7 linked regions of the Rattus norvegicus genome follow. The protein of the gene in region 3 interacts with the protein of the main gene of each other region in a biochemical or structural test. Links are inferred from orthologs where the notes say so. Each region holds a gene or a part of one and is shown on either strand. Other genes may lie near its edges. The genes, in order: Arhgef11, Pdzrn3, Rps6ka1, Magi3, Dlg4, Pdzrn4 and Erbin.

Region 1 (3,973 bases), on a different chromosome or scaffold from region 3:
CAAGCACTGGAGGAGGGTAGACAGGATGGGGACGGTCAGAAGTGCCACAGTCAGTGGGTTGCAGATTTAAATAGGCCAGTCCAGGTGAGCTACCTGGAAAAAATAGTACTTAATCAGTGAAGACATTGACTGAATTAAACGTGACATCTGGAAATGACACTGCAGACAGAACAGCCAGGGCAGACAGAAGCCAAGAAGAATGTGCTCAGCATTTAAAGAACAGTAATGAGCAGGGAGCAGCGCAGAAGAGCGGAGTGCAGAGGAAGCGAGAGCCTGGTCATGGGAGAGACAATACAATATGAAGAGGAGTTTGCTCTTCACTTAGCAAGCAAGGAGCTGTTGGAGTTGCAAGAGATGGGACAGCCAAGAAGTTCACTTAGAAGGTTCCTCCATAGGAATCCCCACCAATGATGGTAAAACAATAGCCATGGAAGTTGTGAATAGAGGTCAGCTCCTAGTGGAGTTGAGCAATAGAATCCTGAAGAGAATTCTTAAAACTTGAGTGTCAAAGTCAAAGAAGAGATCACTAGAGTTCCTTATATAAGCCACTAAAAAGACTGTCAGTCACTCTAGGTGAAGTGGGTAACATGGGCAACACTTTTGGACATGTTAAGTTTAAGGTCTCTTTGGGATATTAAACTACAGATGTGAATAGACAGCTACATGTATGAATCTGTCATTTGGTGACAGATCTGGGCTTGGGGGGGGCTTGGGTTACATCTCAGTAGTGAAGCAGTTGCCTAGCAAGCAGGAGGCCCTAGGTTCCATTTCACTAAAAAGTTAAAAATAGCTGAGCCTAGTGGAAGAGACCTACAGACTCAGCCACCTTGAGGCTGAGGCACAAGTCAAGACTTCCTTGGGCTACTGAGTTCAAAACCAAACTCAGTAGGACCAGGATTAAAAAATGATAAAGGCAGAGGATATCCGAGTGCATGCCTAACATGTATAAGACCCTGGGTTTAATCTGCAGTACTAATTAATAATAAGGAGAAAAGACTAGGACATCTGGACCTGAAAGGAGGCCGCACAGAAAGCGTGGTCTTTACAGCGGCGGCCTCCTGACCCTCAGTAGTAAGGTGCCATTAACTGGTTCTGGGATGGAGTTCATACCTGACTGAGCCTGTTCGGAGAGTCTATGAACCCAACTTACAATAATTTTCAAGTAATGATAGTTTGTACTTACAAGATGGGAGCCTTCTTCTGGGTATTTTGAAAATTCAGTGGGCTTATTGTGTAAACAGCTTATGAAAATGTCTGGCCCATGGTAAGACCCAAACATTAGTTGCTGCTACCTTTGCCTCTTTACAAGAAATTTCTTTGGTCAGGCTCCAGGTTTTATTTTTTTCTCCTGATAACTTCATGCTTTGAAACAGAGAACAGAGACTAAATTTGCCACATGTACTGTTGTGCTAGAAAAACATTATTGTCACGATCATCATTGTGCTAGTTGAATCTTTGAGGAAATAAAAACTTCTCACCTCCTGGGCTACAAGACTCCAGAACGTTTTGAATCTGACCTCGTATCCCCTACTATCCCCCCTCTTCTTCCAGCCTTTGCCTCAGGTCCAAGTCATCTGTTCTTTCATTACAGGTCCAAATATGAGGAAGATCGGAGGTGAGCAAATCCATGGTGTGGTACATTTTCAGCAGTCAAGGTGGGAAGAAGTAGGGCCGAGCTCTTCTGTGTTTCTCATTTCTGCTACCTGTAAGAAAGCTGTAACACTATAGAACTTGAGTCTGTGCAAGTGTAGCTCCCAGATGACTGACCATAACATGTGGGACTTCGGAAGTCCAGATCCTTGATGCCTAGGGACCACTGCCTGGTAGATGGCTCTACTCCTTGGTGTTGACAGACTAGCCCTCACCTCCTGACTTCTCAGGCCCGCCATGTATCTACCCACAGTACCCCTGAGTTTCCCTCCTGACCTCTTTCCCTGTGGAAAGATTTCATCTCCCTAAGAATGGTAGTGTTAGAATCAGTCTGTGACAGCAGAAAGAAAACACCTCCTTTCTTGGTGATTTTTTTAATGTAATTTCTACAAATTGACCTTATTATTTCTTATCAGCTTAAAAGGGTCTGCATTCCCTGCCTGTACATGCTTTGTAAGGGAAGAGACGGGCCATGAAGCCAAAGTAGAAGCAGATAGTGTGTCTACTGGATTTCAGGCCAAATATAGTTTAAGCACACAGCTCTGGATAGTTTCATTTGTGGCAACCAGAAACACCTCGATAGCCTTTGCTCTCTTTTTCTCCTTGTTCTCAGAGATGGGGGAAGGTGAAAGCTGTAGGCCTACTTTAAACCCTCGTATGTGTGTCTGAGGATGTTGACTTAGCCCATCCTCCAGGCCTTGTGTTTCAGGACTTTGTGTTCCATCCACTGACCATCATCCCTTCATGGGGAGAGAACACTGTCTAGATTTCTGTGGGAGCAATGGAGAGCTTTGGCCAGCTCCTGACTGCAGTTGCATTTGATCATCCATTCATCACTTTGAATATTTTAGCTCATAACCACCCCTTTTCTTCTCCGTGGGATGCCTATAACGGAGACTGTCCTCAGGGTTTTGCTCCCTCAGCCTTCTGTTACGAAACATGACTTGAGCTTTCTGGTTCACAATGCTCCTGTTTTACAGTGCCCCCATGGACTTTGCTGTTAATACCTTTATGAGCCACGCTGGGATCCGTCTTCGGGAGTCTCGATCCTCCTGCACGGCAGAAAAGACCCAGTCTGCCCCTGACAAGGACAAGTGGCTGCCCTTCTTCCCTAAGACCAAGAAGGTAACAGAACTGCCCACAGCACAGCTGTCCTGGAGCAGGGCTCTGTGCTGAGGCAGACCAGGAAGCCATTTCACAGCCTTCCAGCTATATCCCCCTCTTTTCTCCAAACCTGACCACAGGTGAAACATGTTCATTAGAATAAAAACCTGAGTCAGCTCTCCAATGATTTGTGTAGGGCCAGTCTTAGGACAGGGCAAGGGTGATTAGCAGTCTCGTGTCTGAGTGTTGGAACCACCTCCAAACTAATGTCTCCTATCTCAGCAGAGCAGCAATTCCAAGAAAGAAAAGGATGCCTTGGAGGACAAGAAGCGAAACCCCATCCTCAGATATATTGGGAAGCCCAAGAGCTCCTCTCAGAGCAGTGAGTATTTTAGAAAACAAAAGCCTTGGCCATTCTTTGGTAGAGAATTGAGCCCCTTCACCTTCCCAGGAAGTAGAGGGGCCTCCTGTGTTTCTGGGAGCCAAGGCCTGAACTCTGGAGACTGTAGCTTGCTCTTAGAACTGCTGCTCTCTCCCCCTGCCACATCTAGCCAATTTCATTGAGGGAAGGCTAATTTTTCAGAGCCAAGGGGTGTTAGCCTGGAACTTCAGAAACAGCTGTAGCTACTGAGTAGTTCTGTGGAAGAACTTATGGCTTGGAAAGACTGCCCTGTGGTCTTCGTTTCATCTTCATCCCTGGAATTTATGCACACTCCTGTGGTTTTGTGTTTGGATCCTTGCTGAGGGTTTTAAATGACCGTTAAGTAGAACTGGCAGGGATAGGGACAAGCTCCATGACACGATGGTAGCCCTGAGCTTCAGTGGGAGTCGCCTTCATAGACCTTGGTGACACTTGGGTGGGGGAAGGGACTTCCGCGTCTACTTTGGTTTTGTCACCACCTTCTCGTTTTCCAGCTTGATAGGATTTTTATTTGACTCTTGCAACGTTAACTGACTTTTCATGGTTTACTTTTGTTTTTGTTTGTTTTTCTTTTAGCATTTCATATTCCCTTGTCCCCTGTGGAAGGTAAAAGGACAATTTTCTTCGGTTTTATCTCCTCATTAGAATTGATTTTCCACCTCCAGAATCTTGCTGTTCTTTCCCATCTGGTCCTATCTGGTCCCGACTTGCTTCTTCCTTTTCTTCCCTCCATCTCTCTTAAGGATTCCTCCTTTCTGTTACTGCTTCTCTGTAATACCGACTGCTGGGGTCCCTCTT
Region 2 (3,829 bases), on a different chromosome or scaffold from region 3:
GTCACATCAGCATGTTTTAGGGCACCCCTGTTATCCTTAGTCCCACTTGTCCCAGTTATACACCTCACTTTTAAAGCTGTCTTCTCAAATTTGATAACAAGATTTGATATGAAAACCATCAAGGTGGGGCTGCCAGGCAGCCACACATACGGGTGCCCTCTCACCTAATCCGTGTCACTGACTTGCTTCTAGTTACCCCATGTCCAGCAAGAGTCGCCTTTGCTCTGAGCCCAGCCCTCTGCCACAGTGCTGCCAAGCAGAGTTCTGGGAGTCCCAGGGAGGGGCTTAAAACAGATAGTTCATTTCTCCCTGTGCACAGTGCTAAGCCCTGTTTGCAAATCAGTTCAATACAGAAAGGCAAGGTCATGTATGATGATATGGTAGAGACAGCCTTTGGAAAGTGGCTGTGTTCGTGCTGAGGCTGTCTACCATGTGTTTCAGATTGACCCTAACAGCATTGCGGCCAAGGATGGACGGATCCGTGAAGGAGACCGCATCATCCAGGTAGGTACACTTCCCACTGGGGGGCATCTTCAGCAAAGAAAGGTGTTCCAGAAATAGTTCCCAGGTTGGAAAAGCAGGAGAAGTTTAAGGACAGGAACCAGGAATTCAGCCAAGTAGTGAGACCAACCATGTTAGATTAGTGAGTGAGACTAATTAGTTACACACAGAGGGGGAAGTGAAGACAGACCAAGCTCTCCCAGATTTTGGACCAAATACCTCTGAGAAGTCTGAAATTTCATAATTCCACAGTTACCTGCCCTATGGACTCTGTTATAAGGGTAACATCTTTACCTTGAAACCTGTTGTTCCATGTAAACAAAATAAGTGCTTACTTCTTTCTTCTAGCTATAATCATTTTGGGGGAGAGGTGGGGGGAGGTGTTCATGGATTCAGGTTGGTGCCAAACTCATTATGTAAAGGTGAACCTGAACTTCCAATCCTCCTGTCTCCACCTCTTGCACACCTGGCCTGATACGGTGATGTGGATGGAAGCCAGGACTTCCTTTGTGCTAAGCAAGCCTCCTATCACTTGATGCCCGTCAGCTCTATGGCTTTTTGTAGGGCCTCAGAGCCTTGGCTTCATTCTGTCCCTTGGCTTCTCTTTCTACCTCTTCTCAGTTTCATCTTCATCTTTCTAATCTACCAGTTTGTTTTCCCCATTTCATAAGCCACCACGTCTAGATTTGGTTTCCTACCAGACTACATTGTGTTTCTCTAGCCTTTAGCGAGAGCCTTGACAGCTGAGCTTCCTTAGGAAAGAGACCCAAGACACCTGAGGGCCACAATCCTCGGCAAACTGTGTGTTGCTACAGTTTTCTGAAACCGGTACCACTGAAAACAGGAGCTGAAAGGACTAAACATGCCACCAGAGTCCCGCCTGGGTTGCAGACATACCCTTCCCTGTATCCACTGTGTAATCAGGTTGGATAATGACAACCAGCAGTGTCTCTGGCTTTGCCACCTCTTGGTTCTTTGACATAAAGTGGCAAAGTCGAGTGAAGGGCTCAATTTCCAAGTCAGCAAGCAGGACTGCTGTGGTGTCCCTAGAGGAATGTCAGCCCAGGAACAAAAATTTACAGAACTCAAAGTTGCTGAGACAGGCAGACAGATGTCCTGCCAGAGGGTTGTCAGTGTGAAGGTGAGAGCCGTTCCCACTTGACTCGCCATCTAGCCTGCTAAACTAGGCACACGTAGCCCATGTATACACAGCCGGTCCCATCTCTGCTACCCACTCCTCAAGGTCCATTCCCAGAAGGCACCCTGCTGCTTTTCTCTCCCATTGTAAACAGGAAGTGTCTTTTATATTTCCCATTAGTCTCCTGACCAAACACAATGTCAGATTCCAGGTCTCGGATGTGGCCCGAGCAGCAGGGGTTTTCTAGATCATATCCTGGAATCCATGTTATGAGTGTGAGTGGTGGCACTGCAGTTCTGAAGCAAGAAGGGAAGCTTCTGCTCCATGCAGCCATATCCCTTGCTACCTACACCTACCCTACCTCTTATGCTTTCAGATTAATGGCATAGAAGTTCAGAACCGTGAAGAGGCCGTGGCTCTTCTAACCAGTGAAGAAAATAAGAACTTTTCACTGTTGATCGCAAGGCCTGAGCTCCAGGTAAGTCAATGTCCCACAGATTAAGTAGGTTAGATTTTTATAATCAAACCCAAGTCCCTAACCCTGCAGAACAATGTCAGAGTATTGCATCTGTGCTTAAAGGTGCATGCCACCTTGAACTTGAACTTGCTGTGGCTTGGGATCCATTCAAAGGATTAACCAACCTGACAGGTCCTACCCACGGCAGATTGACTAATAAAAGAACCATAGCAGGATTTACGGATGCCCCTTCCAGCCTGGACCTAAGTCCCACTTATTAGGACATTGAAGGGAAATGAACATGAGTGGAATTGAGTGGTTCAAATAGTAACTAACTGCTTTAACCACTGAATCTGGATACAATGTAGCAAAGCAGGGGTGGGAGGAGTAGCATTAGAAGCTTCCGTAGCATTAGAAGCTTCCCCAGTGTGGTGTAGGGCTGGAGTTCCTTCAGTGTGAGGATGAGGTCCTTTCCAAGACAACGGACTAACTGCTTTGGATGACTCCTAGAGAGAGCCCCACAATTCCTCTTTCTGAGGTAATGTCCTTTCTTAAAAGAAAGTTCCTTGCTATGGCAAAATACCACTCCAAACAACTTCAGGGAGGAAGGGTTTATTCTGACTCAGTTTGAGGGTTCAGTCTAGCATGGCAGGAAGGCTAAGCAGGCTATGAAGCCACTATCTGCATGGTGTTCAGTCATGAAGCAGAGAAATGAATCCAGTGCTCAACTTGGTTTCTCCTGTTTAATGACCGCTACCCAAGTCAAGAGGCGCTCCTCCCTCTTCAGCTAAACCTTTCCAGAAACACTCACATAGAGTGTTTACCATAGATGTGTAACTATGGTGATTCTAAGTTCAAGTTGATAATGAAGACCCTCACGTGTGTATCAACTGTTTCTCCTAGCTGGATGAGGGCTGGATGGATGATGACAGGAATGACTTTCTGGATGATTTGCACATGGATATGCTCGAGGAACAGCATCACCAGGCCATGCAGTTCACAGCCAGTGTGCTGCAGCAGGTAAACCCTGGGGCAACTCCACGCCACCCCAACCAAGGAGAACGTGCACCTTCAAAGATGCTGAAGACCATCAGAAACCTCCTGCCTAAGCTTTTCTGTTTGAGCCTGAGGGCAATACAAGCAGATGGGTTCCCTCAGCAAGCTCTTCCCTGGAGATGGCTACATAGTTAACAGTGAATTCCAAACTCAAAGCAATCAATCTCCCTAGTGTATACCACCTCTAAGGTTATAAAGCTCTTATGGCTTAAAAAAAAACAAAAAGCTGAGACAATGTTGCTGCTCTGTTGATGTTTACTAGGAAAATACAATGAAGTCAAGCCTTTGAAAGTAAAGCAATTCTGTGATTAGTCTGAGCTGCTCACAGCCCTCGAGCTCCCTCCTACGCCACCACCTACGCCACCACCAGAGTCCCAACTACCCATTTACTGAGTCTCTTAGGAGTACTTGAACATCCTCCCTATTTACGAGTTCCTTTACTATTTTGTTATTCTCTTTCCAATTTAAAGATTGAAAAAATGAGGGTAAGGGTCCAGCCCAGACTCATTTTGATAGGGCTGGCTACTTCCTGGATCCTAGGTCCCTCAAATGCTGCAGGTCAGCCTTAGGAACTTAGAGCTTAATCTACACTCCTGTCATATACAAAAAGATCACACTGGGTACCTCCTCCTCCTCCCAACCCCTTTCCCACCTCCCCTAGCCCCTGTCCCAGACTT
Region 3 (3,973 bases):
CCACTGAGCTAAATCCCCAGCCCCTAAAGATCATTTCTTGATCTGTTCATTCTGGGGTTGGCCAATGAACTGCCTTCCAGTGCTGTCTGGAGAGCTGGGATAGATCCTGTTGGTAGAGTCAGACACATGCTAAGTCAGGCGTTATGGTTCTCCGCTGTGGTACCAGCTGCTAAAGAGGCTGAGTCCAGGAGTTCGAAGCCAGCCTGTACAATGCAGTAGACCCTGTCCCTGAAAGGAGAAAAAGACCCAGAGCCATTCAAACCTTGTGACTACAAGGAGTTACTTTCCTGAGCTCCATCCTTCTACTCTTCCATGGAGTAGAGCTGGGCCAAGCCCTCCTTCTGGGCAAGCTCCATCTCTCTCCATCCCATGGTACCACTAGAACCTACACAGTGCCTGGGGCTAAGGATTTCTGACTCATGTCTCTCTGTTACAGTATCCTTTTGGATGAGGAGGGCCACATCAAACTCACTGGTGAGTGAGGCACCAGCTCCTTTGGGCTCCTGGGAAGGATGGACAGGCTCCGTCTGATGGGTCTCAGCTGATGGCCGCAGTGAACTCAGCTAGTTCACTGTGCTTCCTGCAAGAAGCAGCCAAAAGCACAGGCCCCCGTTACTTATCTTTTGTGTATGGGGTTCTGCCTGCCTAGGCCTCTGTGCCTCCTGCACGTGTTGCCCACAAAGCTGGAGTCGCCTACAACTGTTAGCCATCCTGTGGGAGCTGGGAATCGAACCTGGGTTGTCGGGAAGAACAGCCGGTGATTTAACTGCCGGGCCGTCTCTCATAGCTCCCAATTACAGCCTTGGACAAATCCATGTGGGCTTCAGCTTTCTCCTGGCATCACAGAGGCGATGCCTGGCTCTGGTCAGAGGAGCTAAGAGTGGTAGCAGTGACTTGGCAGGGATCCTAACGACGACTTCTCTGCCCTCCATGCTGCAGACTTTGGCCTGAGCAAGGAGGCCATTGACCACGAAAAGAAGGCCTATTCCTTCTGCGGGACGGTGGAGTACATGGCCCCCGAGGTTGTCAACCGCCAGGGCCACACCCACAGTGCAGATTGGTGGTCCTATGGGGTGTTGATGGTGAGTGTCTAGGCTCTGGACTCAGTTTCCCCAAGTCGAGAAAAGTCAGTTTACCCTCCCCTTGTCTCACAACTGCACGCCATTGCACTTCCTTTCCTTGGAAGAATCGTGGGCTTCAATCCATCTGACTGAAGTACCACCCTTCCCCTAACTTGGGGGACTCTCCTCCACTTCAGGCTTTAGTGTTGCTCCTGGAATCTAGGTTGGGATGGGGGCAGAGGCAGGCACAGGCCCTGCTGCAGCTAGACTCTGAAGTCTAACAGGCCAGCAAGAATCCTGGAACCACAGCGGGGTAGCCTGGGAAGGAGGGGGAGGGGAATGCGGGAGACAGAGAACAAGACCGCACCTATATGGTTCCTTTTCTCTGCAGTTTGAGATGCTGACGGGCTCCCTGCCCTTCCAGGGGAAGGACCGGAAGGAGACCATGACCTTGATTTTGAAGTAAGCATCAATGCTACCCTGGCCCTAGCAAGTTCTTCCTAATCTTACCCAAGCTTCAGGGCCAGAGAATTGCATTTCCCTGCCAATAGACCCTTGCTGTCTACCTGGGCCAGTGGAAGGGTATCCTTAAAGTCTTTGGGAGGTGAATTAATGGCTGGCTTCTCTGGACTGAGCTGGGAAAGAGACCTGGAACAAAGGGAAGGGGTTCTGGGTCTCCCAGGGTGGGGCTCAGCCCTGATGAGACCTGTGGCTATTCCAGGGCAAAGCTAGGCATGCCCCAGTTTCTGAGCACGGAAGCCCAGAGCCTCCTGCGGGCCCTGTTCAAGAGGAATCCTGCCAACCGGCTTGGTAAGCAACCCCAGCTCGGGGAGGGGACATGGCAGTGGGGAGCAGGGTACAGCTGCAGCCTAGGCCACAGGGCCACATCTGGGGCTGAAAGGAGCTGTTGTCCTTTGTGTGCAGACAATGCTGCTGGCTACCCTGTTTTCTGGTTCCATGTATGGTGTTGGGAGGGTGACCTGTGTGGGGGGAAGGCAGGAACTGAGTCATCCATACCCACTCAGGGACAAGGACAGAGGCCCCCACACAGCCTCTCTGCCAAGGTTGCTGGCTCAAGGGAAGGCATATGAGCTTAGGACTGACACGAGTCTCTCAGTCCTGCCTGTGTCTATTCCCACTGCCTGGCACCCGGAAGTTACTGTAAATGTCTGTCGAGAGACCAAATACTGTTTACGAGCCTGCGCTAAGGCAGGTGACGCCCCCAGGGTTCCTTGTGTCTGTGAAGACAGTGATCCTGACCTGGCTCCCAGGGTTCTTTGAGTCAGAGAAGGACATGCCTCCTTTGCACTGGAGTACACAGTGCTCGCTGAGTTTTTCAGATGAGGGCTTTATCTGGATCACAACCAGCTAAGGTCCAGTCCGGGTCCCTGGGACGAATTGAATGAGTGTTTGTCTCGGGAATAAAGGCAGTGGTAGAAGAAGAAGGGTGGAGAGAGGGCCTGTGGCAGGAGGAGTAGATGAAGGTCCTTATTAGATCTCAAAAGAAGTCCAGCTTCTGTCATGACTGATGCATGATCAAGCCGTCCGTCCTGCCTGGCTCCTCCTCCTTTAATAAACCAGAAGAGGCTTCGTAATATAGAAAACACTGAGTGGGCTCCAGGCTTCGGGGTGATGGGTATTGACACAAGGCAGGGTGAGCCCAAGATGCCCCCTACTGTAGCAGCTGGTCCAGAGCTTGGGGGACAGTCGGGGTGTCTGAGGCTGGACCTTCCTTTGGCTTCTTACAGGCTCAGGCCCCGATGGGGCTGAGGAAATTAAGAGACATATCTTCTACTCTACCATTGACTGGAATGTGAGTGAGTCTGTCCACTCCCTGGTTCTGTGATGGACACAGGAAGGGTGGGGGAGGGGCCCCTGCCAGCCGTGGCCTCAGATGTAGGAGATAGAAGATGAACAGCCCTTCATGCCCTTGAAGGTTGCTCTCCCTGGCTGTTATCTTCTGGGTAGAGTAGCTTCTACTCTTCCAGCCGGGGCTGCTAGCAGGCTGAGGGGTCACCATGGTGATCAGAGCACACACCCCACCTTTGCAGAAGCTCTACCGCCGTGAGATCAAGCCACCTTTCAAGCCCGCTGTGGCCCAGCCGGATGACACCTTCTACTTTGATACCGAGTTCACGTCACGCACACCCAGGGGTATGTTCCTGACCTGGTTTGTCTGCCTCGGGCTGGGTAGCACGTCTCTGGAGGGGAACCCTGGGGTCCAGCGGTGATCAAGGACTCTGGAAGCCCAGATGTGTGGGTGGATAGGCAGTATCTGGCTCCGTGGGATTCAGGCTCCATTCTGACACTACCCAGCTACCTCCCTGGGGTTCTGTGGGCTTCTTTGTTTCTAGGTGAGGGACTGAGGTGTGGGGGTGGCTTAGACCACAACAGGAACGACAGGACCCCTGCCCCGGGCACCCTTCAGCCCATTGGGATGACTAAACACATCAGGCCTCCACATGCATCAGACACGAGGAATTTGACCTGGCAAACCCCTGACAGAGTCTGGCAGAACAGAGGGGATGTGCCCCCAGGTTGGATGTGTGCAGACTTGGCTTCTGATGCTAGGCCTGGTTGCTTGTGAGGAATTTTCAGGGAGTCACAGACCCACTTACTTGTTCCCCTGTTGCTGCAGGTCATCCGTGAGGGTAGCTTCTAGGAGGGAGCTTGGGAATCCTGACGTCCAGCCAGATACTGCCAGTGGGTGGGGAGGTGTTTGTTGGTTCTGAGGTGTCTTCTGAGGGGGTCATTGTTCTCTCTGTAGCTTGCACACCGTTGATAACTGGAAGCTCAGCACTTGTGAGCTGTCTGTCTTCTCCTTATTTACCGGTTAAGTCCATACCAGGTCCCTGCTCTGTGTCAGTCACAGTGAGCGTGGTAGTGTAGACGACAGGCCTAGGATTGTGAAC
Region 4 (4,666 bases), on a different chromosome or scaffold from region 3:
TCAACGGTGTGAAGGAGATCATTGCAGCTGTCTGAATCGTGGTCTAGTCTGCAGAGTTCCTTGGAGTTTAAAATGAGTGCTATCATTAAAGGGAGTCAGAATGCCCTGTCACAAAAGTGAGACAATATGCCTCAGCTCAGAGAAAACCCTTTCCTAGAAATACTGGACTGTTATTTGGATGAGGTAAAAAATTTTAGGAATAGAGGGCATTCCAAAGACGAGAAAGCATACGTTCAATAAAGAGAGGAAAAAGCTTAAGTGTTTCTGAAAAATTAGAGCTGGGAGAGATCTGAGGTCTCCTTTGTTCTCAGTCACTTCTTCTTCCAACCTCTTTACAGACAAACAATCATGAAGCAGAGAGCTGGCCAAGGACAAGCCAACAGTGTCAGGACTTAGATCTGCAGGCACTAGGTTATTTTTAAATCCATCTCCTTCCCTATTTCCTTAAACGAATCTCCTCGAGAGCAGGATCACCTTTTCTTCATTCTTGAGTTTAGTAGCTTGTGTAACTAATGATCTTCATTCTCAGCTTGTTTCAGACAGGCTGTCTAACTTGCCCGAGAACACACAGCATTCAAGCACAGAACTATATATTTACCCTCAACCGGACTCCGAATTCCTCACTTCATTCAAGAACATTCGTTGAACCAATTAACAAACCCAAACCCGTCGAATCCGTTTCAGCTACAACAGGCCCATTTAGTAGCTCCACCGCTCGAGGTAGCTGGACACTGGACGCCCAGGATCCAGGCAAAGCACTCCCTGGATCGCCATCCGGCTCCAGATCCGAGGCCCCGCCCACTGCCCAGCTGGGCACGCCCCACCATGGGGACCTGGGTCCTTTCTGCGTTTCCCTTGGCTCCAGCCCCTGGGCGGAGGGCCTCTCCCCGCTAGGCGACCTGTGCCCGCTCCCAGACCAACCCTCTCTCTTCCCTCCCCTTTCTCCCTCCCTCACAGTCTAAACTTCTTTTTTCCTCCCTCTCTAAACTTCAGTCATTCTAGTGCCCGCCTCCTCTACCCAGACCACCCAATCAGAAATCAGAATGTCCGTCAAGGCCCGCCCCCAGCCTGCCGGAACCCAATCCACGGCGCGGAGTCCAGAGCTGGGCGAGTCCTTCAGAGAAGGGCTGGTGACGGCAACGCGCCGGGCGCTGCGCTGCGGGAGGGGGCGGGGCCGGGCCGGCGAGGGAGGGGGAGGGGCCGAGCGGGGAGGAGGTTGCGGCGGGTTTGAAAGCGCCAGTTTCCTGGCAGCTGGGGCAGGCGTTGGTCTCGGCGCTCCGGCTCCGCAGCAGCCGCGCTCGAGCGGGCGACTAAGCTCGGTGCGCGCGTCCCGGACGGAGCCTCGGTTCCAGCTGCTCCCTCAGCTCCCGCCCCCTTGCCTCAGCCTTTCCCGCCGCGCGGGCGCCGAGACCCGGCCGTCGGCGCTGACCCCGCCCGGAGACCCCGTCGGCGCCGCCCGCGGGGCGCGCGCTCCCTCCGGCTCTCCTCGGCGGCCCGCGAGAGGGGCGGCTCGCGGCGGCGCGCGGCTAGCGGGCTGAGGCGGGAGGTCGGCGGCGGCGCCCCTCTGGCCGGGCTGTGCGCGGGGCCCGGAGCGGCACCGCGGCCGCCCGCGCGGGGGCTCCCCATGGTGCAGCGGAGGTCGGGATGTCGAAGACGTTGAAGAAGAAGAAGCATTGGCTCAGCAAGGTGCAGGAGTGTGCGGTGTCCTGGGCCGGGCCCCCGGGCGACTTGGGCGCTGAGATCCGCGGCGGCGCGGAGCGCGGCGAGTTCCCTTACCTGGGGCGGCTCCGTGACGAGCCTGGCGGCGGCGGAGGCACCTGCTGCGTGGTCTCGGGCAAGGCGCCCAGTCCTGGCGATGTGCTGTTGGAGGTGAACGGGACGCCCGTCAGTGGGCTCACCAACCGGGACACCCTGGCTGTCATCCGCCACTTCCGCGAGCCAATCCGTCTGAAGACCGTGAAGCCAGGTGTGCTGTCGGCTGGGGGATCCGGCTTGGGGACCCGAGTCCTGGTCCCGACTCCCCGGGGAGGAGGGGGGAGGGGGCGGCGCCGGGGTTTCCCATTTTGCGGCAGGTAAAACTGAGCTCCGGTGAACCGACAGCTAGCTGTGTAGGCTGTCAGGGAATTGCTACTAGGAGTTAGCTGGCTCTCCTAATCCAGCTCAGTCTCCCACGGCAGACAAGAGTTTCTATTTTTTTTTTTTCCTAGAGAAGGCCATCCCTTTTTTGCTCCCCCTTTGTGGAAAAGGTCCTATGATGGTATCTTTTCTTTGGAACGTATGTGTCTTATAACGGGGAGAAAAGGCTTTCCTATGGAGACTCAGCGCTGGATCGAGTGCTGAGGTTACCAACGAAAGCTTCAGGGAGGGCTCAGCTGGCCCAGTGCGTCGTGCACGACCGCAGACGTCTGGGAGCTGACAGTCCCACTCTTTGGGTCTAGGTGGCTCAGGTGTCTGAGTACCAATGAGGTACAATGTGCGGTATGAGGCAGTGGAACTGTTGTGTAGTCTGGGTTTGGAAGGAAGATCTAGGTACCCAGCCGAGCAAATGCCTTTGTAAAGCTTTCGAATCTACAGAATTTGTTGAAGCGCTGGGTAAAAAAAGAACCTTTGGTGCCCTGGTGTCTTTGATGCTCGTAAAATGTGCTGCAAAGCACGTTACGCTTATGGCATATTCCCTAGTTGGAAAGCATTGATCAGACTGCGCACAGTCTGGGCTGGTAGTATGTAGTAAGTTTTCTTACGAATTTGTAAGTGAGAACATTGTTGGTCCGTTCGGTATTGGAAGGATGTGGTTCTGGCTTCTGAGATGGTTGTAGACACAGGCATTGTGATTCATCATTGTTACTAGAAATCAAATTGTTTCTGCTGAACATAGATAGGGTACATCTAAGCATATGGGGCTGCCAAATTGTGACCTGGGCTAGATTTTGGTCTTCCCTTTCATTACAAAATGCTAGAAAATTCTAGAGAAATTTTAATATTCTCTCTGCCTCCCCCCTCTCTTTCTCATCCCCCTCTCCCCCCCTCCCTCTTCTTGTCTTCAGTTCACTTTAGGACTGTCTCTTTAGTAGTCCTTGAGCTAATTGCGACTGATGGTTTGATGCAGTATCCATGTGTTGTGGGTATGTAACATAATCTTACTAGCTTAAATGAAGGCACTTGTCATATAACCTATTCTGTGATACTGTTAAGATTTGTATGTTTGTGGGTTTTTCTTATTGTTAATCTTTAGAACTTTGTCAAACTGTAAACATCCTTTCTCTATGTTTGTGAGAATTGTAAGAGTTTTAACACTTAACTTCTAACCGTATTTGAAAGGATGGAGGGAAGACTTTGGGGGCTATAATTTGGCGTGTTGGTTACTGTTTATAACATTCAAAACACTATACAGACATTTATTATCCTAGGTATGGTTAGGCCATTGGTTCTCAATCTGTGGGTCTCGACCCCTTTGGGCGTTGTGTATCAGCTATCTTGCATATCAGATATTTACATTACGATTCATTGCAGTAGCAAAATTACAGTAATGAAGTAGCAATGAAATAATTTTATGTTGGGGGGGGGGTCACTGCAACACGAGGAACTGTATTAAAGGGTCCACAGCATTAGGGAGTTGAGAACCTTTGACTTAGATGAGGTCCCATGAGCCAGAAATAAGGAGAACATGTGCATCATGGCTCTTTTGTTTTGATCAGTGGGGGCATTTCTGAGAGAATAAAGTCATAAAGTTGTGGAGGAAGTTGTTCTATTCCAAATCACTGTGGCTCATTTAAAAGACCAGAGGGATGGCTCCTTAATAAATACCAATCTGTTTTACATGTTACATACCTTTCACATGAAATTGGAGAAAATGCTTCAGGGTTTAAAGGGTTATACAGTAGTATTAGTTAAGAGTATTGACGAAATCTTCCATGCCCCAGAATATAGTCAGCATTTTTGTATTAATAAAATTTTGCCTCCTTGTCATCCAAAGACGCTGTCCTGCTTTAAATATTTAGTGAAAATAAGGGGAATAACTGGTGTCAGTGCTGCACTCCAATTTATTAGAAACAGTTCTGAATGTTGTGCTTGCTTTGTAAAATATGGTCAACATCTATAATTTGTAGTGGGTACCACTATTTTGTGCCATCTGAAATTTAAAACTGTTTTAAGCAAATTGTAATGAAAATATTTGTTAGGTAGTATATTTTATGGCTTTCCTAAATGGCTTTACTTAAAGCATTATTTATAATGAAATACCAAGGGTTTTGTAGGTTGAACATAAGCTTTAAACACTAGAAATGAAGAACCTGAAGATGTGATTTGTAGAACTTTGGAATTAGCTTAAAAATTGCACAAGTATATCTCCAGAGAATCTTGGAGTCTATATAGTTGGGATTCATTTAGAAAATCATGAAAACACAGTGTAAGGTGGTCTAGAAAGAAACTTTCCCTGCCCCCACTCCCATTATTTCTAAACTTTGTGAAATTTTTAATTTCAAACATTATATAGTAGATTTACACTCCTGACCAGTAACTCTTTGTTAAACTGTATTCTTGAGAGTCATTTAGAAGCTAAAGAGTAAAATGTAGCTGTGTCTGTAGGATGTCTGTTAATGAGGAATGGTCTTATACTGTCTTCTGTCAGTTTGTGTCAGAGGAATGAGTTGCTGTAGCACTACTTCTT
Region 5 (3,973 bases), on a different chromosome or scaffold from region 3:
TTTCTTTCTTTCTTTCTTTCTTTCTTTCTTTCTTTCTTTCTTTTTTTTTTTTTTGAGGCAAAGTCTCACTATGTAGCCAAGACTGCCCTTGAACTGGTCGTCCTCCTGCCTCAGCCTCCTAGGGCTGGGATTACAGGTGTGTGTGATCATATCCCTCTTTCTGGTACTTTTTTGTTGTTGTTTTGGTTTTTTGTTTGTTTTTCTGAGACAGGGTTTCTCTGTGTAGTCCTGGCTGTCCTGTCACTTGCTCTGTAGACCAGGCTGGCCTCAAACTCAGAGATCTTCCTGCCTCTGCCTCCATAGTTCCAGGACTAAAGGTGTGCGCCATCACCATCCAGCCTCTGGTACTAGTTCTGAACTTACCAAAATTAACTTGAGTTCCTTGGGGAAAGGGATGGTTTCCAGTCTTGGCAAGAAGCACAAGAGGCAGGAGGGGTAGAATGTACTGGTAATCACAAGGTTTGGGAGGCTAATGTAGGGGGATTGAGATTTTAAGGGAAACCTGGGCTACATAGAACCTGCCTCAAAAAATGGCTGGGGATGTGTTTAGTGGGTGGAGTGCTTTTCCAGTATACACGAAGTATACACATGCTCTTGGTGATCAGGAGGAGGAGGAGGAGGTGAAGGATCAGAAATTCAAGACTACACAGTGTGTTTAAGGCTAGCCTAGGCTATATGAGGCCATGTTTCTTTTTAAATTAATTAATTATGAGTACACTGTAGCTGTCTTCAGACACACCAGAAGAGGGCATCAGATCTCATTACAGATGGTTGTGAGAATTGAACTGAGGACCTCTGGAAGAGCAGTCAGTGCTCTTAACCACGGAGCCATCTCTCCAGCCCCGAGGCCCCTCCCTCCCTTCCTTCCTTCCTCCCTCCCTTTTTCGTTTGTTTGTTTTAAAATAGGGCTGGGGAGATGGGACCAGAGTCTTGCTCTCTAACACTCACAGAAAGCTGGGTGCTGTGATGCATGACTTCCATCCTGACTCTGAGGGGTGTGCAGAGACAGATGGGTTCCTGGAATTTACTGCCCAGTTAGCCTAGTCTGTGAGTTCTAAATCCAGCTAGAGACCATGTCTTAAAAAGTAAGGTGGAGCTGGGCATTGTGATACACGCATTTAATCCCAACACTGGGGAGGCAAATGTCAGTGGAGCTCTGTGAGTTCAGGGATAGCCTGGTCTACATAGTGAGTTCTAGGACAACCGGAGGTAGGTGGTGAAATCCTGTATATAAACAAACAAACGAATGAACAAACAAATAAAAATTAAGATGGAGAATGATTTTGGGAAGACCCTTGAAGTCAGCCTTTGGCCTCCATGCTTGTGCGCGCGCGCGCGCACACACACACACACACACACACACACATCACCACCACCAAATAACCAAGCCAGAAACAAATACGTAAATGTGTAAGTCATACTAGAGGGCCAGGAAGGGGCCCAGGATTATTAGTGTCACAGCAGTCTTGTTGAAGAGGATTTTTCTGGCCTTACATAATTTATTTTATATGCAAACACATGAGGTCAGAATAATACCTTTATTTTTTTTAAATATTATTTAATGGATATGAGTACACCAGACACACCAGAATAGGGTATTACAGATGGTTGTGAGCCACCATGTGGTTGCTGGGAATTGAACTCAAGACCTCTGGAAGAGCAGTCAGTGCTCTTAACCGCTGAGCCATCTCTCCAGCCCCCAGAATAATACCTTTGAAAACAATTGGGTATCAGGCATGGCAGCAGATGTACCGCATGGCGATGGACACAGGTACTCAAAAGTGAAGTAGGAGGATCAAGTTCAGCGAAGGCGTAAGCAACATAGTGAGATCCTTGAAAGTGGGAGACTTGAAAGTAAAACCAAAACCAAACTTGGTCAAATGGACTCAGGCTGGGGAGCCATCATGTGGTGGACGTACAGGTTGAGCAAGACCTGGGGTCCCATCTTCACGGCAGCATTTCCCCTTGTTACCCTTGGAGAATGCTGGAACACCTAGAGACAGGCCATTTCTTCATGGAAATGTAAATAAGGGAGAGGCTCAGTCATCTGCTCCCACAACTGTGTACGCTCATCACAGAGTCAGCTCAAGGTTGCCAGGCAGCAATTCTGGTGCGTGTGTGGGTCTGTTTTCTTACCGTTTTTGTTTTGAGATAGGGTCTCATTATATAGCCCAAGATAGCGTCAAAGTCACCATGTAACCCGCACTAGCCTTCAGTGCCGTCCTGTCCTCCTCAGTGGGATAGTAGGCTCGAACACAACACTCAGCAGGTAGGAGAGTCCTTTGTAAAAATCTTATTAATGATTGTACAACATTAACACTTTGCAGTCCCTGTGAACACCAACCTTAGACACCACCCTGAATGCCCATAAGGACTCTGGTAGAAGGGTATTGTAACGAGCAGGTCAGATGATGACCCCAGAACCTGACAGTCCTAGAAAGACAGGCAGTCAGCTCACACTTCCCCATTTCTTTTGAGACAAGGTCTTACTACATAGCCCCGGCTGGCCTGAAACTTGGGGTTCTACTGTCCCAGTGGATCTAAAGTGTGGGTACCACACCCAGCAGACGTCACTGCGTCCTGTGGCAGGCACAGTTCGCCCCTTGCTGGGTGAACGTTTCATATTGAATTTGAGCCTACTAAGCCTCTGGGACAAGCCCAGGGAAACAAAAAGGGAGCAGAGATGGGGCACAGGCTAAGCAAGACCACAGGGAAACAAGTGACTATTATCGCTCATAGAATGTGGGAAATACTTTAGACAAATGACCCAGTTTTAAAAAAAAACAATCACCCAACAAAACAACAAAAAACCCTAATGACTGGGCAGAGGGAGGGGCATTGAGAGACCTGAGAGACACTTTAACCAAAAGGCAGTCAAAAGCATGATGCCAATATCCTCCTGTTGGCCCCATTCCTGGCATACTAAAGACATATGACCTCCCAACCCTTGCCCTTTGATGTCATCTGTAAACTTCTGACCCCTGCTGCGGGTCACCCACATACCTTTTTGGCAGAATAATTCCTCTTTGACTGAACCTGGCTCTGGGCTCCCTCTGGAGGGGACAGATGGGTGGGTGCCACGGTCACAACATCTTCATCTCATGCCCTGTCTGCCCTCAGCGTATTCTCAGCACCTGGACAATGAGATCAGTCATAGCAGCTACTTGGGCACTGACTACCCCACAGCCATGACCCCCACTTCCCCTCGGCGCTACTCCCCTGTGGCCAAGGACCTGCTGGGGGAGGAAGACATTCCCCGGGAACCAAGGCGGATCGTGATCCATCGGGGCTCCACCGGCCTGGGCTTCAACATTGTGGGCGGCGAGGATGGTGAAGGCATCTTCATCTCCTTCATCCTTGCTGGGGGTCCAGCCGACCTCAGTGGGGAGCTACGGAAGGGGGACCAGATCCTGTCGGTGAGAGAGGCCTGTGCAAGGGTCTGCACTGCCCCCCAAAGGGAGTTCTCTGCTCTTGGGGAGGGACTGGATGGGCTCAAGCCTGGTCCAGCTGGACCACTCCCTGACCCACTCACTCCTAAGAATGACTGTCTTCCCATCCCAGGTGATAGCATCTTCTCCCCTTTCTAGGTCAATGGTGTTGACCTCCGCAATGCCAGTCACGAACAGGCTGCCATTGCCCTGAAGAATGCGGGTCAGACGGTCACGATCATCGCTCAGTATAAACCAGAAGGTACCACGCCTAAGTTTTCTGTCTTGGTTAAGGTGGACCTCAGCATTGTCTCTTTAGCTGATGGATGGTCTCAGTAGGGGTGGAGCGAGGGTTGATGGGGTGTGGCATTAGGATGGGACAGAGTTCCAGAAACTTCTTGTCCTTTCTCAGAGTATAGTCGATTCGAGGCCAAGATCCATGATCTTCGGGAACAGCTCATGAATAGTAGCCTAGGCTCAGGGACTGCATCCTTGCGAAGCAACCCCAAGAGGGGCTTCTACATTAGGTAAGAAACTTCCTGGGC
Region 6 (3,482 bases), on a different chromosome or scaffold from region 3:
TCTACTACACTTCTGTGTGTTTTTACCTGAGAAGTGGTCACTTTGTATATATCCTTCACCTTGGCTTCCCAAAGAGAAAAGCTGAACACAGTGGTCCTTCATGTCCAGGTCCTCCCTCTCATTGATACCCAGTGAGTGTTACAGATATAATGAAACTTAGTTCCTCTATTTTGCTACTCACAAGACTGCCATGAGCTAATTGTCTCAATTTCTAAAATTGGTATGCAAACTGCAGGTACAGCTGGTTCTAGGAGCTGCACCCTAGCCAGGAAACATTGTTTTTCAAGCAAGTTTACAGCAGCCAGTGCTTTTCAAAATAATCTCTTGTGTTCTGTTTCCTCAGCCAAAAAAGCAGGAGGAAGAAGAAGGCACAACAGACACGGCCACATCCTCGTCCAACAACCAGGAGAAGGACAGTGGCGTGGGGCGCACAGATGAGAGCTTGCGAAATGATGAGAGCTCAGAGCAGGAGAATGTGGTCGAGGAGCCCCACAGCACAGCACTGAAGAGCAAGAGAGAGCTGGGGCAGAGCCAAGACACCCTAGGAAGCATTGAGCTTCAGTGCAACCAGAGCTGCGCTGGGGGTGAGTGTTTGGACTCCGACTGTGCCAGCAACCAGGAGGTGTGTGAAGGATTCCAGCAGCTATTGGAGCTTAAGATCCGAAACCATGGAGATTATGACCTGTACTACTCAAGCAGTACGCTCGAATGCAATCAAGGGGAGCAGGACGGGGTGGAGCATGAACTGAAGCTGTTAAATGAGGAGCTACGAAACATTGAGCTGGAGTGTCAGAATATCATGCAGGCCCACAGGCTCCAGAAAGTGACGGACCAATACGGAGACATCTGGGCATTGCATGATGGAGGATTCCGAAATTACAACACCAGCCTAGATATGCAAAGAGGGAAACTGGACGACATCATAGAGCATCCGGAAAAGTCAGACAAGGACAGCTCAAGTGCATACAATACAGCTGAGAGCTGCAGAAGCACCCCACTGACTGTAGACAGGTCCCCGGACAGTTCCCTTCCAAGAATGATCAACCTCACCAATAAGAAAAATCTGAGGAGCATGATGACAGCCCATCAGTCCCCTTCCAGACCGAGCACCAGGGAATACACCGCTACCAAAGTCAAAACCACCCATGAAGGTTGCAGCGTCGAAAGCCTGGAGAAGAGTCTAGAAAACAGCCAGCTTCTGGATCAGGAGCACACAGTCAGTGAGCATACTCCATACCTCTCTCCTTACCACAGCTCCTCCTACAGATATGCCAACATTCCGGCGCATGCCCGGCACTATCAAAGCTACATGCAGCTAATTCAACAGAAATCTGCCGTAGAGTATGCCCAGAGTCAGCTCAGCCTGGTGAGCATGTGCAAGGAATCGCCGAGGGGCTCAGAGCCCAAGATGGAATGGAAGGTAAAAATTAGAAGTGATGGGACCCGGTACATAACCAAGAGGCCAGTGCGAGACCGACTTCTGAAGGAACGTGCCTTAAAGATCAAGGAGGAGCGGAGCGGCATGACCACAGATGACGACACCATGAGTGAGATGAAAATGGGGCGCTACTGGAGCAAGGAGGAGAGAAAGCAACACCTGGTCCGGGCCAAGGAGCAAAGGCGGCGCCGGGAGTTCATGATGCGGAGTCGGCTGGAGAGCCTCAAGGAGAGCCCACAGAGCAGCGGCGAGGGCAAGAAGGAGCTGAGCATCATTGAACTGAGCCACAAGAAGATGATGAAGAAAAGAAACAAGAAAATTTTGGATAACTGGATGACAATCCAAGAACTGATGACCCATGGGGCCAAATCCCCGGATGGCACAAGGGTCCACAATGCCTTTCTGTCAGTGACCACCGTATGACCAGACACATGGGGACAACTGGCTTAGAGAGCATGCTACCAGTTTCGGTAGAGTATCATTGCCTCGTTCAATGTGGCATTTTTATATATATTTTGTGACTTTACAGTTTAAATTTTTTGTAAGCAAAAATACCTGGTACTTTTTAATTTGTTTTTCATATGCTGGTACCTTCTTTGGCTAATATCTTTCCTTAACTTGTGATATATTCATAGCACACATTTATAGAAAAAAAATAAAACGATGAAAAAACAAAAGGAAAGAAAAAAAGATGAACAAAAATACTAAGGACCTAATTAATTTCCTATTTTAATGTATCTATTGTAAGTTTTAAAAAAGTCTGGATTTATTTCTCTAATTTTCTTATTTCCTATTTTAATAATTCAATGCCAAAACATGTCTATGCTTACCTCCTGGCATAGTGTATGCTAAATCAGATCTGCTAATAAACTACATGCCGTATCTTGTCTTATACATGAAGTAGCACCTCTTTCAACATCCTTCTGTACATTTAAACACATAAATGGCAATCGTCTTTGTCTCAGTAAAGTGTGGGTGGACAATCTTCCCGTGATATGTAGTGACACTGGTCATGTAGCTAGATAATTGTGGTAATTTGTGACAATAAAAAAATAATAAATTATTGATTATCCTAAGAAAAGTTAACCAAGGACTGTTATTTTCTTTGCCCACGGTGGTTGACATGTTTGGTTGTATGTATACGATTAGAAGACTCTTGATTGTGAATTACAAACTGTGCAGCTTTTCTATCACCTTTTCTCTTTCAATAAAGTTGTTTTGGAAACACTACTTATAGGTCATCGTGTCACCTATTCCAAATCACATATTCCTACCGGGAACGAATTCGAGAATAGACGCTGTATTTCAGTGATGCTAAATTAGGCTTCATGAGCCTCTAGCCTGCCTTTCCCAGGTGAGATTCAGGAAGAGTAGAGAAAGAATATTAAGGAAGGGTCTCCTGTTGACACATCTGCTTCACCTCCACAACTCACATGCTCTGATAGGCTTCAGCAATGGGGACTTACCACTCACAGATCTGGAGACTGCTAAGTCATTCAATTTTGGTAGGACACAATCCAGTCTACAACACGGCAGGTTTATTAAATTGATGGTCTGAAGGTACGTTTTGGGAAGCCATCCATCTTTGCAGTAATTCTCAGCATATTCAATTAAATGCCCTATATGTCTTTATTAAAGGGTCTATTGTTAACTGGCTAGGCAGATTTTTATTAATCTAGCTTTTCATTGCTTGAACATTTAACCATATCATGTGCCGACCATGATGCCTACACAAGAGAAGACACTGTTAATGGTATATATAAAATGACATTTAACCCAACAGACTGTCATGAGAACATGTACCTATTTTGGAGCTAGTGTACTGCATGAAAACCTACAGTGGCTGCCTATTAGCTCTCTAGTCAGTCTCAGGCCCCAGCACTATATCCAAGTCTTCCTATAGCTTGCCCAGGTCACCTCTCCCGCTAGTTCTCCCTGAAGTTAGTACCTGATACTTTCCTGAGATTTCTGAAATAAATCCTACACCTTATTAAAATGAAACAACAGACAGAGTTTTGGGGGAAACTGTATTGACGAAAACACA
Region 7 (3,973 bases), on a different chromosome or scaffold from region 3:
AGTGAGGCTAATGAAGGATTTTGCATATAATACATAGCATAGTACCTCTTTCTATGTGCACATTATTTTATTCTTATCTATTCTGCAATGGTAGATATTAAGCTCTTTTCCCCAGTTTTTGCCAACCAATTTTCATGTAACAAAATATTAGACTTAGAAATAAAGTTGTAAAGAACGCCCATCTCATCACACCGCTCTTACAAGTAGTGCCTGGTTAGCTCTGCGTTATCTCTGTCAAATGCTTGTCCAGACCATTGCTCCCGTAAAGCTAGTGACATCACCAAGCTGGCACTTGGTTAGCGGGGTGTATACTGATACTTAGAAGCTCCTGAGTCCTTTCACTGTTGTTTAGGTACCAGGCAGTTGTTACTAGGCTGCCGAACAGTTGGGTGTCATCCTAGCTCCATGAAAAGTACTTCAAAGGCTGTCTCACGGTACTTTTTATAAATTAAGAAACCAAGACTTAAGTACCTTGAGATTGGGGTTTCTAAACCATTTGAGCACTGTTTCTAAAAACAAAAAACATATCTTTAATCCATATGTGGGTATGTCTGGGTGTAATAGATCCTTGAATTGGCTAGTATTGAGGTCTTCATAAAGAGCTTGTTTACAACTATTTTCAAATTCCTTTTAAACTTCCACTTTAGTGAATATAAACCGATTGCTTCTCATTGTTCTAAACAGGCACCTCACTCATTGAGAGATTACCACTTTATGAGCAGGTGTTTGAGGTGGAGAGACACAGAGGACTTAATACCTACTTAACTTATCCCCTCAGACATAGAATCGGTAAAAAGGTTTCCATAAATTCTTGGTGAATTTATCATTGTGCTTAAACACGTTTACTTTGTTTCAGATGATGCAAAGGATACAGATTCTTTATCAGATGAAGTCACACACAATAGTAATCAAAATAACAGCAATTGTTCTTCCCCATCTCGGATGTCTGATTCAGTGTCTCTTAATACTGACAGCAGTCAAGACACCGCACTCTGTTCTCCAGCGAAACAAATTCCTATCGATAGTAACTCCAAAATCAGGTTTGTGAACATTTGAACAGTGCATTTACTTATACAATAAATAGAAATAATAATACAAATAAGAGAAAAAATAGGGCTAAACATAAATGGTTTCACAAATATTTAAGTGACTTATACAATAAATTTCTTTACTCCATTTTAGAAGTAATTGAGTAGAGGTTGTTAGTGTCCCTACTTAGATGGAATGGCGTCCTGAAACATGGGGGCCCAGGATCCACGAAGCTCTGAGAGAAAACCTCCTCAGCAGAGCCACTGCAGCTCCCAGCCCTCCTCCTTCTCTTCACTTCTTCCCTTCTTTTCTTCATTGCTTCCTGGCTTTTCTGATGAGAGTCATACCAGGCAACATCTTGCATAAAAGAGATTCATCAGGAGGGTTTAGGGTATGGAGTAATGAATCCAGTGTTGGCTGCTTCTGTTCCCAAGAGTGGACAGCAAGGAATTGAACAAAGAACAGAGTTTATATAGGGGGCGGTGCTTTTCAGGGCAGATTTTTAGAGTGAGGATTGGTGAGGTGAGGATTTTAAGCCCTGACTTGGAGAGCTCAGGAATTGGTGGGTTTTCCAGCTCAGGGAGTGGTGGGGTTTTGTAAGAAGCTCAGAGATTGGTGGGTACTCCAACTCAGGGAGTGGTGGCTTTTTTCCCTCCACACCTTTCTCTGAATCAGGCCAATGGGTTTAGATTGGAAGACTGTAGTCGGCTTTGGCTGAGGTGCCATTATTGAGCTGCTTGGGGAGGCTGGAGAGGAGGTGAACAGCTCTTGTGGTGGTACCTCATGCCAGCAGCAAGCTGAGGAAGTGCCCCTGTTTTGACAGAAGCCACCATTTCGGTAGTTCCTGTGGTAGTATTTTACAGTGAAGGTGCCACAGGCTGGGGAGAGAAGTAGCCATCATAGCTTTGACAGCTCTTGTAATGTGGCTCAGGGTCTACAGTGATTATAAAGTTGTTTTAAAACCATTTTTTGTTGTTGAAATGAACAAAAATATTTTTAGGTGTCAAAACATATAAACAGCTGATTGGAGGAATTTCAGATTAAAAGAGCTATTTTTATTCTTAGAAACCATGTTATTTCTCGTTGCAGTGATAACACACCATAGCCAAAAACAACTTATGGGAGAAATACAGCTTTTTTGGCTTATAATTGTAGAGGGATGGTGCATAATGGTGAAGGGGACATGACAGCAGGAAGCTGAGAGACGACACCTCTGTAGCTTTGCTTTTCTTTCTCTTTTAGCTATTTTGTGTGAATTCTTCTCCTGTCTCTTAACAATATTTTCTCTGGCTCAGTTTCCCCCGTCTTAACTGTCACCAACTGTCTTCTCTAACCCTAGACACGGACCCTGCTCTTCTGCTACCTGGAACCTGCTCAATCCAAATACTCTCAGCCTCTGCTGGCTTTGTTATAGCCTTTCTTGTTCCCAGAATTCCAAGAGGCAGCCAACATTGAAGGGCATAGTAGGATCACTTAAAGGGCTCTGCACACAAACTAAATCACACTACACACCTCCAGCCGCATGTAGAAAGCAGGAGGGCAAACTGGAAGTGGGGTGAGGCTAAAATTCACAAGCCCCTCCTAGTGATGACTTTCTTCTGTAGTGCTATGTTCCCTATGGATCATGGCCATATCAAAATGTAAAATGCTTCTAAATCAGTGTTAAAAGTACTCAACAGTCTTAACACTACTCAAAAGTCAGCAGTATCTTCTCAAACTCACTACAGTCTCTTAACTGTGACCTCCCAACCCATAAAATTTAAAGAAGGATACTTCCAGGACATTATGGTATGGAATATACATTTCCATTCTAAAAGGGAAGAATGAAGACATAGTGAGAGAACACTGAACCAAAACCCAGCAGAGAACGCTCCAAATCCTCAATCTCCATGCCAGATGCTTAGGTGGCTCCGCCCATCCGGCTTTGAGTCCTGTGCATGCATCTCTCTGGGGCTGCTTCCTCTGATGTGATCAGCTCTTAGCAGATGTCTCATGACTCCGGTATCTAGCAGTTTGGGTTTTCTGCTGTAAGCCAGGCTTTTCTCTTTTTTTTTTTTTTTTGGTTCTTTTTTTTCGGAGCTGGGGACCGAACCCAGGGCCTTGCGCTTCCTAGGCAAGCGCTCTACCACTGAGCTAAATCCCCAACCCCCAAGCTTTTCTTTTAATGTTTCGTGTACTTTCCTTTCACAGCATCTCCAGCTTTGCCAGACTTTGCCTGTCTTCAGGGCTCTCTGAAACTGTACAGGAGGTTTTATGGCCACTGCCATGACCACCTCACCCTTCCGTCTTTCCCACCGTAGATGACACTAGCAAGTTAAACTGACCACATAGGACGGACCCTTGATCCTCACCCTACCTTAGTAGTGTCTTTTATGTGTTTAAGCAGTTGCTCTCTAGGAACAGAAATCCTTTAGGCTCTTTCTTAAGTTGGAAGTCAGCTGAGTGGGGTCTTGGCCTGAGGGCACTTTTCTCATTGTTCCAGTGCAGAGCAGGGCACTGTCCTTAATGGTGATATCTCTAAAACACTTCCTCTTTCTAGCATGTTCATCGCTATAATATTGTTTCCCAGTGTTCCCGGTCTCTTCACACTGTACTTTTTCATTTCTTTTGTTCTACCTGATGTTTTTCACTATAGACCACTGTAAAGAGTAACCAGTAGTAACTGTGGCCGAGACTCAGCGTTATGCTGTCTTCAGATTTCACCCACCAAAGAAATCAGTTCCTTATTGTTTTTGTTTTCATACAGAGTCACCACAGATCCCTGGTTGGCCTGCACCTTGCTATGTAGAACCAGGCTGGCCTTGAACTTACAGAGATCCTCACTTCAGCCTCCCATGCATAGCCACAGCTGGATATATTTTTGTTTAGCATCAGTTCTTAGGACAGAGATGGCAGCCCAATTCTTTGCCAGCATATCACTAGATGGCATGCAGCATAGTTGCTG

Evidence for each region.
Region 1: the proteins of Rps6ka1 (region 3) and Arhgef11 interact in a test that uses a peptide from one of them, tested with the Homo sapiens proteins (2 studies listed by BioGRID and IntAct). The link is inferred for Rattus norvegicus from reciprocal best matches to the Homo sapiens genes RPS6KA1 and ARHGEF11.
Region 2: the proteins of Rps6ka1 (region 3) and Pdzrn3 interact in a test that uses a peptide from one of them, tested with the Homo sapiens proteins (2 studies listed by BioGRID and IntAct, with this or other methods). The link is inferred for Rattus norvegicus from reciprocal best matches to the Homo sapiens genes RPS6KA1 and PDZRN3.
Region 4: the proteins of Rps6ka1 (region 3) and Magi3 interact in a test that uses a peptide from one of them, tested with the Homo sapiens proteins (2 studies listed by BioGRID and IntAct). The link is inferred for Rattus norvegicus from reciprocal best matches to the Homo sapiens genes RPS6KA1 and MAGI3.
Region 5: the proteins of Rps6ka1 (region 3) and Dlg4 interact in a test that uses a peptide from one of them, tested with the Homo sapiens proteins (2 studies listed by BioGRID and IntAct). The link is inferred for Rattus norvegicus from reciprocal best matches to the Homo sapiens genes RPS6KA1 and DLG4.
Region 6: the proteins of Rps6ka1 (region 3) and Pdzrn4 interact in a test that uses a peptide from one of them, tested with the Homo sapiens proteins (2 studies listed by BioGRID and IntAct, with this or other methods). The link is inferred for Rattus norvegicus from reciprocal best matches to the Homo sapiens genes RPS6KA1 and PDZRN4.
Region 7: the proteins of Rps6ka1 (region 3) and Erbin interact in a test that uses a peptide from one of them, tested with the Homo sapiens proteins (2 studies listed by BioGRID and IntAct). The link is inferred for Rattus norvegicus from reciprocal best matches to the Homo sapiens genes RPS6KA1 and ERBIN.

Annotation. Positions count from the first base shown.
Region 1 is NC_086020.1:175,469,741-175,473,713, forward strand, and holds part of Arhgef11 (rho guanine nucleotide exchange factor 11), read left to right. Parts: intron 1-1,591; coding exon 1,592-1,615; intron 1,616-2,630; coding exon 2,631-2,775; intron 2,776-3,036; coding exon 3,037-3,136; intron 3,137-3,751; coding exon of another isoform or gene 3,752-3,781; intron 3,782-3,973. UniProt on the Homo sapiens protein: May play a role in the regulation of RhoA GTPase by guanine nucleotide-binding alpha-12 (GNA12) and alpha-13 (GNA13). Acts as guanine nucleotide exchange factor (GEF) for RhoA GTPase and may act as GTPase-activating protein (GAP) for GNA12 and GNA13.
Region 2 is NC_086022.1:135,329,591-135,333,419, reverse strand, and holds part of Pdzrn3 (E3 ubiquitin-protein ligase PDZRN3), read left to right. Parts: intron 1-441; coding exon 442-504; intron 505-2,015; coding exon 2,016-2,117; intron 2,118-2,999; coding exon 3,000-3,116; intron 3,117-3,829. UniProt on the Homo sapiens protein: E3 ubiquitin-protein ligase. Plays an important role in regulating the surface level of MUSK on myotubes. Mediates the ubiquitination of MUSK, promoting its endocytosis and lysosomal degradation. Might contribute to terminal myogenic differentiation.
Region 3 is NC_086023.1:151,377,681-151,381,653, reverse strand, and holds part of Rps6ka1 (ribosomal protein S6 kinase alpha-1), read left to right. Parts: intron 1-436; coding exon 437-474; intron 475-939; coding exon 940-1,082; intron 1,083-1,452; coding exon 1,453-1,523; intron 1,524-1,782; coding exon 1,783-1,871; intron 1,872-2,809; coding exon 2,810-2,874; intron 2,875-3,112; coding exon 3,113-3,215; intron 3,216-3,973. UniProt on the Homo sapiens protein: Serine/threonine-protein kinase that acts downstream of ERK (MAPK1/ERK2 and MAPK3/ERK1) signaling and mediates mitogenic and stress-induced activation of the transcription factors CREB1, ETV1/ER81 and NR4A1/NUR77, regulates translation through RPS6 and EIF4B phosphorylation, and mediates cellular proliferation, survival, and differentiation by modulating mTOR signaling and repressing pro-apoptotic function of BAD and DAPK1.
Region 4 is NC_086020.1:194,401,999-194,406,664, reverse strand, and holds the start of Magi3 (membrane-associated guanylate kinase, WW and PDZ domain-containing protein 3), read left to right. Parts: upstream 1-1,517; 5' UTR 1,518-1,644; coding exon 1,645-1,966; intron 1,967-4,666.
Region 5 is NC_086028.1:55,256,443-55,260,415, forward strand, and holds part of Dlg4 (disks large homolog 4), read left to right. Parts: intron 1-3,120; coding exon 3,121-3,416; intron 3,417-3,587; coding exon 3,588-3,690; intron 3,691-3,840; coding exon 3,841-3,955; intron 3,956-3,973. UniProt on the Homo sapiens protein: Postsynaptic scaffolding protein that plays a critical role in synaptogenesis and synaptic plasticity by providing a platform for the postsynaptic clustering of crucial synaptic proteins.
Region 6 is NC_086025.1:125,842,307-125,845,788, forward strand, and holds the end of Pdzrn4 (PDZ domain-containing RING finger protein 4), read left to right. Parts: intron 1-343; coding exon 344-1,861; 3' UTR 1,862-2,659; downstream 2,660-3,482.
Region 7 is NC_086020.1:36,678,226-36,682,198, reverse strand, and holds part of Erbin (Erbb2 interacting protein), read left to right. Parts: intron 1-856; coding exon 857-1,040; intron 1,041-3,973. UniProt on the Homo sapiens protein: Acts as an adapter for the receptor ERBB2, in epithelia. By binding the unphosphorylated 'Tyr-1248' of receptor ERBB2, it may contribute to stabilize this unphosphorylated state.